Caenorhabditis elegans: one gene and its partner. The protein of the gene in region 1 interacts with the protein of each later gene in a pairwise test. Each region holds a gene or a part of one and is shown in the gene's direction. Other genes may lie near its edges.

What was found. Proteins that work in one complex are often made in the same cells at the same time.
Region 2: the proteins of nsun-1 (region 1) and prkl-1 interact in a two-hybrid assay, tested with the Caenorhabditis elegans proteins (one large-scale study listed by BioGRID).

What each region holds. Positions count from the first base shown.
Region 1 is NC_003280.10:470,532-479,298, reverse strand, and holds nsun-1 (26S rRNA (cytosine-C(5))-methyltransferase nsun-1), read left to right. Parts: upstream 1-3,358; 5' UTR 3,359-3,363; coding exon 3,364-3,456; exon of another isoform or gene 3,457-3,502; coding exon 3,503-3,698; exon of another isoform or gene 3,699-3,744; coding exon 3,745-4,180; exon of another isoform or gene 4,181-4,859; coding exon 4,860-5,151; exon of another isoform or gene 5,152-5,348; coding exon 5,349-5,625; exon of another isoform or gene 5,626-5,796; intron 5,797-6,015; coding exon 6,016-6,284; intron 6,285-7,024; coding exon 7,025-7,223; intron 7,224-7,433; coding exon 7,434-7,537; intron 7,538-7,700; coding exon 7,701-7,829; 3' UTR 7,830-8,037; downstream 8,038-8,767. Other genes in the region: W07E6.5 (G_PROTEIN_RECEP_F2_4 domain-containing protein), read right to left, coding at 1,504-1,573, 1,667-1,739, 1,789-1,920, 2,048-2,143, 2,186-2,222. UniProt on the Caenorhabditis elegans protein: Methyltransferase which methylates the carbon-5 position of cytosine 2982 to 5-methylcytosine (m5C2982) in 26S rRNA. May play a role in the translation of leucine and proline codons.
Region 2 is NC_003282.8:6,982,677-6,989,381, reverse strand, and holds the start of prkl-1 (LIM zinc-binding domain-containing protein), read left to right. Parts: upstream 1-2,446; coding exon 2,447-2,656; intron 2,657-2,834; coding exon 2,835-3,077; intron 3,078-3,172; exon of another isoform or gene 3,173-3,606; intron 3,607-4,047; exon of another isoform or gene 4,048-4,199; intron 4,200-4,472; exon of another isoform or gene 4,473-4,626; intron 4,627-4,834; exon of another isoform or gene 4,835-5,185; intron 5,186-5,310; exon of another isoform or gene 5,311-5,658; intron 5,659-5,811; coding exon of another isoform or gene 5,812-5,922; coding exon 5,923-6,060; intron 6,061-6,330; exon of another isoform or gene 6,331-6,351; intron 6,352-6,410; coding exon 6,411-6,470; intron 6,471-6,705.

The sequences.
Region 1 (8,767 bases):
TGGTCCTTTTTGAAGCAGACAATTGAAGCTCATTGCGAATATCTCTTGCCGTCTTACAGGAGTTGGAGGCAGCACGAATCACATTTCGTTCGTCACGCACGGAGAGAGCTTTGCGACGAGGAGCTCTTTTAGATGTACCGTAGCTCACCGGATCCTTCAGATACACGCGAATACAGTGTCGAGAACGGGAAATTTTCCTACTCATTTCATGCAGGGACACATTGAGCAATTTCATAACATCCAGCTGAGCGCGTTCAGTGTCCGAAAGGGCAGATCCTCGAGGCATTGCAAGTTAGACTGCTTTCGAAGTAAGCTTTCCAGCCTCTATATGTGTGCCACAACACATGCCACAATTCCACATTTAATAATTCACGCAAAAAATAGTAAATAACATCTGTGAGGGACAATTTAACTTGAAATATTGGTCCCATGGAACCTTGTAATCAAAGAAAAACGATTTGATTCCTGATAAGCCTTCCATTGTTTCCTGCTGCATATTTTGCCAAATCAGCTTGACTACACAGTCGAAACATCTAAAGTGCGTGCTAGGAATTTTAGTAGGAACTTGTTAAAGAGAGTTTATCAAGTTTTGGCATTACCGAGAGCACCAGGAAGCTTGAAACAGACTTGAACATCAAAGATCGGAAGAATCAGAACCAGTCTGGAGATCCCACGAGAACATTTCGTATTAATTTTTAAAGTCAAAACTGCTTATATGAACTCATTTCTAACTCAAACTTGATTTGAGCTTTGTCAAAAATTCCAAAATCTGTTGATTTTAGTAAAAATCGTGAAAAAAAACGGGGGGTCCTATAGAAGTTTCACACTGGATTTTGACGTTTTTTCCAGCGCGACCTCAGTTTTTGAGATAAACTTCTGGAAAAAAATGTATATAGGTTTTTTTCAATTTAAAAACGAACGGCATTAGCAGTTTTTCGAAAAAATTTTCGGAAGTTCCTCAAACCTTCAAATTAGGGGGGGTCCTATAGAACTTTCCCACACTGTATATTTTAAAGGAGTTTCTTGTATCGAAACTTTACATTTCTAGAAAAAGTACAATGAAGCGATTTAAAATTGCTTTTAGTTGACAGTTATGATTTTTCTAGGCTATGGCTGTCTTTTTCTTCGATGCCTACAAACGCCTACACGCCTACACGGTAGACTCACTGGTATGACGCAGACAAGTACTAAATTGTCATCGTCCGGCTTGCTCTTTGTTCTGACAGTTTTATCTTTTTTTATAGGGTCAAAAACATGTTTAAACAGACATGGGGAAAACAAGCAAGGTACGCAGGCAGGCAGGTAGGCAAGATTCAAAAATGACAAGGTCAATGTCAAATAATTTGAACCAACAATATTAGCTCCCTCTGCCCATTTCCAATTTCCAGAAGCAAGTCGGACCGATGCCAGAAAAGTTAAATTTCCTAAAGCGGGAGAATGAGCATGAAAACGCACTTTATTCACATACATTTCAATACAAAAAATACATTTCTTTTTAAAATTCTAGTTCAATTCAATGGCAGGTGGGGCAGTCTGATTTTGTGTGGGATTTGATGGTACGTTAGAAATCAATCTGAAATGTAAAAAATAAGAGTTTGGCTTTCGCAGTCCATATTCTTTGAATATGAAGAATTTCTTAAACTGTTACAAATGAAAAATGACTTACATTACTTTATTGAGCGAGTTTTTTAAGAAACCGAATCGGACAACGGAGAATTGTAACGAAAACGCGAGTTGGGCTGAAGAAGAAATTTTGTTGTATTTTTCATGAAAAATATATCAACATACGAGACACGATTGTACTAACGTGTACATATATTCCGAGAAAAGAAGGTGCCCATAGAAATAACGCGCAAACAATCCACAAAATGAGAAGAACCCATAATTCACTGTTTGAATAATGTTTTGGAGAATGACATTCTGAAAATTTTGAGATAGCTATCCTAAGTAACATCGCAAAACTGGTCAAAAGGTTATAATCTGCGGAATATAGGTAATAGTTTTCCTCATTGTATTTCTTGGTCAAAATAAGTAACTAGAAACTAACTCAGCGAGAAAAACGATGTCGACGCAACAAAAGAGAATATTGAGAGTGAGCAGAAATTGAACACCCTTTTCTGGTAATCATCCCATTTCGGTTCTCCTGCAAAATAGCTTAAAATACAGTTTTAACTTTAATTTTTACCTTTTATCAGCGTGACGGAAGCTAATAAAATTAACATCCACGGAATGAATGCGAGTTCCAGCGAAAACTTTTTCACAAATTGAGCAGCAACTCTAAAAATTATATTTCCAAAAATAGAGCAGAAAATTGCAGATTTTTAAAATTTAGAAATAAATTCCAATTGTACTCGTTTCACTCACTTTTGTTTTAATAATTGGTGCGTTAGCTTCAGCTTTTTTTTCTTTTTAATACAGGCGGTATAGCGAAGATAACAGGAAGACCGCCACTATGGTCGTAACAATAATTGTCCCTGCAGCAACAATTTTCAATCTGAACAACCAATCCTTGATAAGCAGTCCCCAAACTAATTCGTCTTTCAATGTCTTTGCATCCTCTGTACAAATTACTGAAATAGCCAGAACACAGAGAAGGAGTTGGCTTAGATATCCAAACAAGGCTAGAACAGAAGCAATTGCCAGTTTGAATGCCTCGACTCTGAAATATTACAATAAAATAATTTACTATTCGGGCGTTGTTTCTCGAATCGCAAAAATGTTTGACGCTTGGCAACGACGGACATTGCCAAACGCTGATATTTTTGGCAATTGTCAAAATTGCCGAGCATAAAGTTAATTGACATATATTCACACTCTTTTTCTTTCAAAAACTTCCCTACCAATACATTTTGGCATGTCAGCGTTGTTCGAGCTCCAAATACGTGTTATATTGTTAACGCATATTTTTTGACTTCTGTAACTGTGGATTCTGCATTTCCTGCATCTGTTTTGGCTATTGTCGGCGCTGTTTCTTCTTTAGTCACGACGAGTGGCAATTCCTTCTTCGACGTGAAGCCGCCATCAGCCTTTGAGGCATCAGCCAGAGTTCGCGGTCTAGAAACCCCCACACGGCCATCGTCGGCAAGCGCGCTCTACCGCACGCCTGTGCAATTTTCAATGCAATTTCTTTCGAATTTAGGCGATCGATTTTTCGGCTTTTCCGTTGCTTTTCGTCAGTTTTTTGTGGTGTTTTATTTTGAAAATATGTGAAAAATTAAATTTTGAAGTTAAAACTTGCATAAAACCAGTAAAACATTGTAAAAATCAGTCTCAAGCGGAGGAATTGGGGTTTTCACTTTTCTCGCCATTCTGTCACTATTTTCTGCGTTTTTTTCAAACTTTAAGAAGTATTTTTCAGGTAAAATGGCAATTGTCAAGAAGAAGAAGGTGTCCGCTGCCTCAAAAGCTGCTACAGAGAAGCCAGAAGTTAAGAAAGCCGTTAAAAGACCTGTTGCAGTGAGTTTTTGCACTAAACATTCACGACGAAGCTCCAATTTTTTAGGAAACCGAGGCAGTGACTCCAAAGAAGAAGAAGCTAGTGAAAAAGGTGAAGAAATCGGCGAAAAAGGCTCATGAGGAGGAACCAATCGAGCAGGTCGAGAAGCTGCAGCTTATCGACGATGACGAGGACGGCCTGGAAGGTCTCAGCTTCCCAGGAAGTGACGATGAAGATCTCAGAGATGACTATTCCGATGATGGTATGGGGGAACATCTGAAAACCCTGAAATTAAAATTTTTTTCCAGATTCCGACGCCGGAGATCATCTGCCAATCGAGAAAAAATCCGCGGCTCTCGACAAGCAGAAGGAGAAGATTATCGCTGAAGGAGAGGAAGAGTTGCAGCTAAACATCGCAAATCAAGCGACTTTCGAGCTTCCAACCGTCGAGGAGATTGAAAATGAGATGAAATCCGTGCCAAACTTGGAAATTGTGAAGCAGCGTATTGCCGACGTCATCCAGGTTCTTGGAGACTTCAAGAATCGCCGAGATCCACAGAAATCGCGTGAAAACTATGTAGAAGTGCTGAAGAAGGATCTATGCTCACAGTATGGATACAATGACTATTTAATGGGAAAATTCATGGATTTATTCCCAAATGGAGCGGAGCTATTGGAGTTTTTGGAGGCTAACGACAATCCGAGACCAGTAACCATTAGAGCCAACTCGCTCAAGGTTAAACGGTAAAATTTGGAGGTTTTTGGATTTCTCGGCATAAATAGTCACATAAAATTGAAGTTTTGGACATAAAAAATAATGCAAAGCTATTCAATTTTGAAGATTTTCAGCTAAAAATTATTTTCCGCGATTTTCAACTGGAAAGTGATAAAATTTCCATGTCCTCATCTTGAAAAATAGTATTGATCAGATTGGGTCTGCTAGACTACAAACTACAAATTTCGATTTAGCAGACCCAAGTGATTTTGAATAAATTGGGTCTGCTAGACTACAAACTACAAATTTCGATTTAGCAGACCCACGTGATTGTGAATAGATTGGGTCTGCTAGACTACAAACTACAAATTCCGATTTAGCAGACCCACGTGATTTTGAATAGATTGGGTCTGAAATTCGGTCTGTTAGACTAATTTAGACTTAAAAGTGCTGATTTTTCACGAATTTCAACTCAAAATTGCCCACTGTCTTTAGTTCTGATCTAAAACAGCTCATTTTCCATAATTTTGGTCCCAAAATCGCCAGTTTTCACTATTGTATTATTTAAAATCGTTTAATTTCTACTCATTTGGACTAAAAACTGGTCTTTTTTATTACTTTTGAACTAAAAATTACTCGTTTTTCACCAATTTGTTGTCAAAATCGCTCAATTTTCATATTTTTAAGCTAACAATTTCCATTTTTCAGTCGTGACCTCGCTAAGAACCTCATCAACCGTGGAATGAACGTGGATCCAGCCGCCGATTGGACTAAAGTTGGACTCGTTGTCTATGATTCTCAGGTCCCAGTTGGAGCAACTCCCGAATACTTGGCCGGACATTATATGATTCAAGGACTCAATTCACTGCTGCCAGTGATGGCCTTGGCTCCACAACCAGGAGATCGTGTATTGGATATGTGTTCTGCTCCTGGAGGAAAAACCAGTCATATTGCTGCTCTTATGAAGAATAGCGGAGTTTTGTTCGCTAACGACGCGAATGTACGTGAAAAATTGATGAAAATAGATAAGGCTGAAATATTACAATTTTCAATCTAAAAAGTAGAAAATTTGACATTTTCGAACGAAAAACTATCAAAAGTTGCCTGGTTTTCATTGGGAAATTCCTAAAAATTCAATTTTCATCCGAAAAAAATTGATTTTTCATCAAAAATCTCCCGAAAACTTTATTTTTCCAGTTCACCCGTTGCCGTGCTATCATTGGAAATCTCCATCGCCTCGGAGTCAACAATACCGTCGTTTGTAATCTGGGAGGAGAAGAGTTCTCGAAAATCCGTCCGAATGGTTTTGATCGTATTCTTTTGGATGCACCATGCTCTGGAACTGGAGTTATTTGGAAGGATCAATCGGTTAAAACATCCAAAGATTCACAGGATGTTCAGAGACGTCATACTATGCAAAGACAGCTGATTCTCTCTGCTTTGGACTCGTTGGACGCTAATTCTCCGAATGGAGGTGCGGAAATTTGCAAAAATCACGAAAATAGGACCCAGAATAGCGAAAAAGCGTCCAAGATTGAAATTGTTTTTCTAAAAGCCACATTTTTTCTCTAGAAACCGAGAAATTCTCAATTTTTGCACTAAAAACTATTTCAATGTGCAATTTCTCCTGAAAATGATAAAATTGCGGGAAAATCTACAGAACAAAAACTATAAAAATCGGCTCTGGAATAGCGAAATAACGTTGAAATCGAACATTTCTTGATTTTTGCACTAAACTTATCGAATTTTTCAATGTTTTTGTGATTTATATTTTAAAAACTGAAAAATCGCTCTCAAAGAGCATAATTTTGCTCCGAAAATATTGAAAACCCCCGTTTTTCCAATTTTAAATCTAATTTTCCAGGATATCTCGTGTACTCCACGTGCTCTGTACTCGTCGAGGAAAACGAAGCCGTCGTCAATTTCCTTCTGGAACGTCGTCACTGTGAACTTGTTCCAACTGGATTATCGATTGGTGTGGATGGATATACACGATTCCGTGATTATCGTTTCCATCCGTCACTTTCAATGACTAAACGCTATTATCCACATGTTCATAATATTGATGGATTCTACGTGGCAAAGATCAAGAAGTTGTCTAATGCGAAAATGAGCAAGCAGGGTGTCATGGAGGTAAAAAAATGCGGAGAAAATTGGAAAAATTGACGGAAAATCCATTAAAAATGAAGAAAATCCCGAAAAAACTACCAAAAATTGGTCTGCTAGACTACAAACTACAAGTTTTGGTTTAGCAGACCCAAAGTTTTTGGTCTGCTAGACTACAAACTACAAGTTTTGGTTTAGCAGACCCAAAGTTTTTGGTCTGCTAGACTACAAACTACAAATTTCGATTTAGCAGACCAAAGTGGTTTTGATGAAATTTGGTCCGCAAGACTAATTTAAGCTTAAAATTTCTCAATTTTTACAAATTTCAACTCAAAATTGCCCATTTTCCAGAATTCCTAATCGAAAATAGCTTATTTTCCACTATTTTTGTCTCAAAATCGTCAAATTTCACGATTTTGATGTAAAATTACCACTTTTTCTCCAATTTTTGATCAAAATCGCTCAATTTTCATGAATTTACTGTTAAAATGTCCCATTTCTCAGCCCTAAACTCAATTTTTCTGCGTTTTTTTTTTTCATCGAAACTATCGAAAATTTAACCTTTTTACATTAGAAAAGCTGAAAAATTTACAATTTTCGTGTGGAAAAATCACTAAAAATTAATTAAATCCTGAATTTTAACAAATTTTATCAGAAAATGAATTATTTTGATGTAAGAATCTTCTTAAATCACGGAGCTTCGACAAAATTCTGTGTTTTCGTGAAATTTCCAAGATATTAGCCCCTAATTTATGTCAGTTTTTCAGAAAGAAAAGGAAAAGGCCGCCCAAAAATCGCAGAACAAGAAGAATAAGGCTGAAGCTGAGGCTTCTGAGTCTTCAGATGATGAAGAGGAGAAGAAGAATGGTGTAGAGGTTAATGGACAGAAGAAGCCAGCGAAAAAGCAGCAGCAAAAGAAGCAAAAAGCCGATGGTGATGACTCGGATGATGATAATAATGCTCCAAGTGCGTAGAAATTTGAGGAAATTAGCTGAAAATCTGCTTTTTTTGAGCCAAAATTATGAAAAACTGAAGAAAATTTACCAGAAATTGCTAATATTTTAAATCAGAAGCTAAAAATAACTCAAAATTATATTTTCCAATGTTTTTACTGGAAAAAATGGAAAAAATAGCAATTTTCTTACTTAAAAACCATCAAAATCCTCCATTTTTCAGTGAAAAACATTGGCTCCGGAGCTCGTGCGAACAAGAAGCGTCGTAATCAGAAGAAGGCAGCCGAGAAGCAGGCCGCTGTCAAGGAGGATGACGGTTTCAATACGGTACGGACTAGATTTCAGAAAAATCAGTTTTTGAGGCTTTTTTCAGCCGAAAAAACCCAAAAATTCGTAGATTTTACTTTTAAAATCCTAAATTCGAGCCATTTTCTCACTGAAAAGCTTTAAAAAATGCCAAATTTCCATATAAAAATATTATTTTTTGCAGGTTGGAAACGTGAAACGCGCCAAAAAACCGACCCAATTCAAGTCAAAAGTGCCAAAACGTGCGGCCGCCCGTACCGGAGCAAAATCGGTGAAAAATCGTCGAAAGAAGATGTTGGCCAAGCAACAATAGGCTCATTTTCCTCAAAATTTGGCTTTTTTTTTTAATTTTTCGACGAAAAATATCCAAATTCGCCTGAAATTCACCAATTTTTCGTTGATTTTATTCTATTTTTTGCCCCTTTTTTGTTGTTTTTACATTGTTTTTCGTTATTTTTTTTGTTCCAATTATTCCCATCATTGTTAAACTTTTTTATATATCCGTCGTTTTTATTCCAAAAAAAAAATAATTTTTTTGATTTTTTTTTTTGCTTTGAAATTTGAGCTTTTCATTGGTTTTTAAGCCTGAATTTTATTTTTTTTTTTTGTAAAAATTTGCTGGAAACTGGCAAATTCTCATTTCAGGGAAAAAAATCGGAAAAATTGACTTTTTCAAACCGAAAACGCGAATTTTTCTGTTTCAAAACTCATTTCAATCCGGTTAACGGCAAAAAATTATGTGCAAAAGCTGAAAATTTGCCGTTTTTGCACAGAAAATCCAAATTTTGCTCTTTTCAATCTCAAAAAACATTAAAAATTTCAAAAACAATCAGTTTTTGACCAAATTTCCACGATTTTCAGTCTCTGAAATCTCAAAATTCACGTTTTCTTCACTAAAAATCCGCTAAAATCGCCTAAATTTCAGTAAAAATGGTACTGGTTCGTGACGAAAATTTTTCTGGAAACCGGCAAATTCTTATTTTTGGAGAAACATTATCTGAAAAATGGACATTTTTAACCTAAAAAGCGAATTTTTCTGTTTCAAAACTCATTTTTAATTCAGTTTTCAGCAAAAAAATCAGCGCAAAAGCTCAAAATTTCCGGTTTTTTGGACTGAAAATCCCAATTTAGCACACTTTTAAACCTCGAAAATCATTGAAATTTCGAAAAATATTCGGTTTTTTGCATTGTAAAACGCCAATTTCCAGTGAATTTCCATGTATTTCAATCTCTGAAAGCTCTAAAAATTCA
Region 2 (6,705 bases), on another chromosome or scaffold:
TTTTTAATTCAACTTTCATAGACCTTGTTTTCAAAAATAATCTCGGCATTTCAACTCTTTGCCAAACGTTTGCTAGTATTGATTATTCAATACTCAAAAAAATTCTCAAGTAGTTTATGGCCACCTTGAAACTATAATAAAAATATGAGAAACAACCAAAATTTCCAAACGGTGGATGCAACACAATTTGAAACGTTAATATATTATTTACAAAAATATTAGCATTCAAGGGGATTTGCCAAACTTGGTTTTTTTTTAAACTTCAGTGCGGCCTCAACCGATTTTCGCTCAAATCTTACCCAAGTTCGGCCCAAGCTTTGGCAACTTCTGGGCCAATGGTATCTTTTTCGGGCAAACGTTTGACATTCTGATATCATGATATGCATTCTGTTAATGAACCTTCTCCTCCTCATCCCCTTCTCATGCACCATCATCACCATCACCGGCTGTCTTCCGTGATGTGAGGTGTCTGTCTCTCGTCTCACTCACACATGCGCATCATAGGGCACCGACGCAAAAAAGTGTCAAAAACGATTTATTGTCTTTTCTCGTTCGGTCCTCACCATTGCGCCCCTGTCCTCAATGCGTCGCTTTTTTGTGCGGTCTTCTTCTTGGAATTATTACCGTTTTAATAGGCGTTGAAATTCTGTTGGAGCAGGCTTGAGAGCGGAAATTAGAGTTCATAATTAGTATCTTAGTATCTTATAAGAGTTCATAATTAAATAGTAATCTAATCATTACATCTAAGACTTGAAAAAGAGCCCTCAACTTTTGATCTACCGCAACTCTATTCACCTCTATTAGATTAAAACCAACTCCAATACCCTCCAGGGACTTCCAATCTCTAACCGATAACATCTTTAGTACCGATGTATCATAACACCTGTCACCCATAGACACACACACATATATAGACCCTTCCTGGCCGAGATGAGGGGTACATAAACACATGCGGTAAGACTGTTAACCCCGCCCTCAAAATACTGCTTCTCGGTCTGCGTCTCACCCTTCTAGTTGATGTGGGAGGATCCTTGTAGCTTTTGGGTTCTGATGGGAGATATTCCATGCGGTTCCGGTCAACGCCCTCCACATTAGTTTCACTTTTGTTTTAAGTTTTCAATTTTCACAATTTCATTCTTACCGCAAAATGAGTCATTTTTTGTACGCTATACACATTCTGGTGTTCTGGTAGTACAGGGTGTTGTTGCGTTCAATATTGAAATCGTGAAGTGATGGCAATTTCAGAACTGCTACAAGAGCTTGAGCAGAAATCATTTTCATCTTTACAGAAATTTTCAAACTAGGCATTCTACGCCTTCCTATATTTTTTCCAACACACATTTATATTTTCTTACAATAATTTTTCTCCGCTCTCACAAAAGCTCGAGTTACTTGAATATTCGAAATAGTTTTTTCATGGCTCGTTTTTCTCATTTTATTTTTCTCAAAAGATTGTGCCAGCAATTTTTTCCTTAACAACAAATAACAGTTGTAATTACTCAAAAACATTACCCTCGCAATTTATGGCCACCTTGAAACAGTAATAAAATTTTGTGAAAACACTAATACTTCCAAAGGACCTAGAAAATAGTTTATAAAAATATCCTCAAGTACCGAGAGTTTGTGAAAACATGACGTGAGACTTTAAAGGTGTCTTCTACTCCTCTTGATGGATCTTGCCACAATCTCTATAATAGAATAATGCTTCAAATATAAATTATGAAGCGTATGTAATTTTCACATTCTAAAATGCACAGGAACTATCATGGTAAATTTTGTTACTTTTATTACTTTTTTGCGAACACACTACCGCAAAGTCGGAATCAACAGTAAAACTTTAGATTCGTTGAGATCTTAAAGTTCTTCCTTTGAGATGTTCCTATTAATCCATTAGTTACCGTCACTTTTCCGTTATTACCAGTATAATGACAGAGACAAAACGGGGCGGCGTGCGCGACGGCAAACAGTCATTCCTCTATTACAAGGCCATATCAAATTAGCATAAACACACGTCTCCCGATTCTTTACTATTTTTCATTCTTCAACGGGACGTCGTCTTCTAGTTGAAGATTTCGGAATCTTTTTCTCTAATTGAATCAACATTACGAAGAAGACGATGTCCTTTTCTGCAGTGAAATGAGAAATGAAACGGTCAGATGTCGTCGTGGGGATTTACGGGGCAATGGAGAGACCGGTCTAGTTTTGTGGATGATGGTGATGGTGTTGCCAAAGTGATTGACATTTTTATATGGCAGCAAAAAGGTTATAGAGAGGGACTGGTCTTCTTTTCACACTTAACACTTAACACACCCTTTTTTGGAGGCTTTTTTGAAGTGATTTTGCATACACTATTTTTCTTTTTTTCCAAGTCAACCTCAACTTTATCGTATAATTTGCCATTCTCTTATGAAAATGTGTTATTTTCAATTCATAGTCCCTATTTCAGATGAGCGAACGAATTCGCCGTCGTCGTCTCGAAGCATCGGAGCAATTCGCACCGCAGCTCATCTCATCACGTCGAGCTCAAGGTGGTCTATCGCCTGCTTCGAGAATCCGAATTGCAGCTGATGCTCACAGGCATTCAACATCTGATGATGACAGTGGATGTGCTTTGGACGAGTATGCATGGGTGCCTAGTGGTCTGAAGCCGAATATGGTAAGTATAGAGATTTTGAATGATCTCGTGTGCAATAAAGAACAATTGAATTAGGTTTTTGAACACCAAAACCTAGACCAATTAAAATGTTCACAACCTGTGGACCGTTCAAAACAGATGGTTTTTTGTGCACTTCAAATACTGATTCAAATTCAAATTCAAATTCAAATTCTTACAGGTTCATGCCTACTTCGCCTGTCTCCCGGAAAACAAGGTACCATTCATTGGATCAGCTGGAGAAAAATGGCGACAACGTCAATCACGTTATCAACTACCACCACAGGATTCTGATGTTAGATATTGTGAAGATTTAAATGCAGAAGAAGCGGATACATTGCGAATGTTTGAAAGAACTCGAAAAACTGAATGCCTGGGAAGTGGTGTTGTTCAATATGCTCCATTTGATACAAAATGTGAAAAGGTTAGTATTTTCCATCAAAATTTGTTTGGTTTTATTGAAAAATCGTCACCCGGCCTTATTATGACATTCGACCCATTTGAGCACAACCGTAAATCTTGCCAAACTGTGGCGTATGAAACCATAAACAACATTTTCTTTTTCGTCTTTCCGCACCATCCCCAAAACTCATAAATCTTTATGCGCGAGCGCTCTCTTTCCGCGCACCATCATCTATGCTTATGCTGGGATGCTCCTCATCATCATCTTCACGGCTTCTTTTTTGTCGGGCGGCTTTTTGCCTTTGCATTCCCAACGTGTAGGCACTGTCTTACACTTGAGAATAAACAATGACGGAAATTTGAGAAAGGTCATGCTCATTAACAACGGCGAGGGCCGTCTGCTCTCGGATAGTCCCACTTACGAGAGTGCGGCAAAAAAGTTCTGAAGAATGAGAAGAAGAGGTTGTTGACCTCGATGGGGGAAGCCAGCTGCTTAGGTGTTAGATTTTTGTACGGCATGAGAATAGTTGCAGCAACTTGAAAGGGACAAATGGAATCATGAAAATTCGTCGAAAAATAAACCTTTTTTTTTTAATTTTCTGATATCGTTTTTGAAGGTATCGTCAGTACCGTAAAAAAAGCTTCTATGTATAGTGTTAAAATGTTCAAATAAATTTTTGATTTTATTTTACATACAGTCAAAAAGTGGGAAAAACTCATTTTTCATTACTATAATTTTGGAAGGCGTTCAAAAATACTTTCTACGAGTTTCCAATTTCGTTTTAATCGTTTGTATTTAAACATTTTAGTTGTACGAACCTGCTATTTAAACATTCTAGTAGTACGAAACTATGCTCAAAATTTATTTTTTTAAATTTTAACATTTTTTGAAACAATACACCCATACTTTAACTGAAACTTTGAAAAAACTGAACATTTTTGAAGTATTTAAATTATGATATGTGGTTTTTTGTGTTATAATAAGTGGATTTCGAATAAATCTCCACTGACGATAATTTCATTCAATGGCAACCGACTGTCTGCAATTATTATTGCAACATCTAAATATTGGAGAGAAATAGAGAAACAGAGATAGAGTCATAGACAATATGCAATTATTGTCAATGTTCATCCATCTTTCTTTTACTACGAAGCTCCGGCTGTTTGTCAGAGGAGAAGCTGAGCAGCAGCAGTCACTGCTAATTACCTATGCATCGTTACATGTTTATTAATAGGAGAGACAACGGGGCTCATTGTTGGGGTTAGCTTGGATTTTCGTTTTAGGAATTTAGAATTTTTGCTTTTGAATTTCCAAGGGTTGCTAGGGGTCTAGCTTAAGTTAGTAAATGTAAATGTTATGTACAGTAATATACTCAATTTCCGCTCCTTCTGCTCGTTCTCTTTAGTTTGTTCATTGAGTTATAATCTGATTAGAGCCGTCTCAGTGTTAATCTAATCCGGTCATGGGTAGATGGTAGGTAGATCAAACAAAGCTTCTTCCGATATGCGCGCGCGGGGCGTTTTGATCTAAACACTACTCATAACAAGATTAACAAGGAAAATGAGAAGGAAAGCAAGAAGTCAATTATAGGGTGAAAGAAACAGTATATTTTTGGAAGGGAAGTGCCGAACAGATGGTCTTCCTGGGTGCCATGTTACCATGTCATCAATCACTTTTCTTAGAGGATCCCTCTCATAGTCAGGGGTTTTCGCGCATTTGATACCCTTCGCCCAGTTGGTTGCCCCTCCAAGTATCTGGTTTGAAGACCTGAATTAGGAGACATGGGAACATCTGCCTTTTGTAGACAATTCAGGCAGTGTCATGTTGTTTTCTGAATTGGATGTGTCAGTTCCAATTGTTACCCGTGTGCGTGTCAAGGGTACTTGTTAGTTGTTGATAGTTTACAAGTAATTATCGCCGAATATTGAGGATTAGCTGAGTACAAGAACTTGGAAAACAAAAGTATTGAAGTTGTGAAATAGGTAGGTACGTCTTCACTACCTTTCTACGTGCCTCCCAGGCGTAGGCAGAAGACAGGCAGTTTTTCCCTAGGATTACCCTGTCACGTTTTTCTGTTTAGAGGTGTCTGTTGCCTAATCCATTTCAAAATTTTAGGTGTCTGGTTGTCAGATTAGACGCGAGGTCTTATCAACTTATGGTTGTACATGTCTGTTGTTAATGCGGAGGTTACTTAACTTATAACAGAAGAGAAAATTCACAATGTGCACACTTTAAACAACTGAGAATTTAAATATTTGATTCTTAAAAATAAATTTAAATTACAACTACCAACAAAGATTCTAAGACGGTCAAGAGGGTAGCAGTAGGGGCATACCATCTTGTATTTACATAACTATAGAAACACATGGAGAAACTGAACCACCGGCTGGAGGATGCACTTGACCGTATAATGTTGCTACTTATCTTGTAATCTAGTCCATATAAATACTTTTTTGCTTTCATTAAAAACACCTGCTCGAGACGGCGGGGAGTATATTTTGTGGAGACTGTCCTAACAATAAAATGAAGAATTTGGACGATTAATTTTATTTGTTTCTGAAACAGTGAAAAATATCTTGTACTACATGTTGTTAATGCATTTCTTTTCGCCAGATTTTGCATAGCGAAAACGCAACAAAATGTGAACAAATTGTATGTGACAGATTGAGATTTGAAGATGAATTTGAATGGCACATCTCATTTGGAAGATGTTGGATTTTAGATCTTTATCATCTCTCCGGATTTCAATGAGAAAATGAAAATGAAATTGAGACACAAATTACAAATTAACTCGTTCTGGAGTAATCAGGATTATTCAATTATTCAACAAATTTTGAAAACACGACTAGAATATGTAAATTTTCAGTGTCCAAAACGTCTTGAAGAAGGAGAAATCAGTGTGATGGCTGCAAGAACTGGAAAAAGATATCATCCATCGTGTTTTCGGTGTCAAACGTGTGATGTTCTACTTGTTGATTTGATTTATTTTGCACACGACAATCAGGTTAGGAATTTTTTAAAAAGTAATTTTTACTATCAGAAATTGAATTTTTTGGAAGATATAGACAATGTGTCAATGGTCAATACATATAGTCAATTTTATATAATCAACAACAACCCAAACATTTTTAGATTTGTCAAAAATGTTCGGTAATAGTTTTGCCTAATTGTCAAATTTCTCATTTTAAAATTTGATTTAAAATTGAAAAATTTCGAGAATTACTGCAGACTCATCATCTCTACAAAAAAAATTTTGGGATGTCTTACGATGTTATTTGATCATTCTATTTTGAGACCGTGATAAAAGTTTTATAAAAGTTTATGTTTTTTTCACAAAACAGTAAAAATTTGCAGATCTACTGTGGAAGACACCATGCTGAACAGGTCAAGCCGAGATGTGCCAAGTGTGATGAGGTGAGTAGCACTATTTTTGTACTTTATATTCCCTTTCTACTATAACAATTGAACCATCCATTTTATGGCCCCCTTACACTGTTTGCTTTGAGTTTCCGATACATGTGGTGTGCAAACTTTTATGATAGGCGATTTGGTGAAACACCAAGCGCCGGCGGTTGGAGGAGAAAAAAGTGTCGCAACTTGAAATAATTGAGGACAAGAAAGCAAAAAGAATAGTAAAAATAGTTTGGAA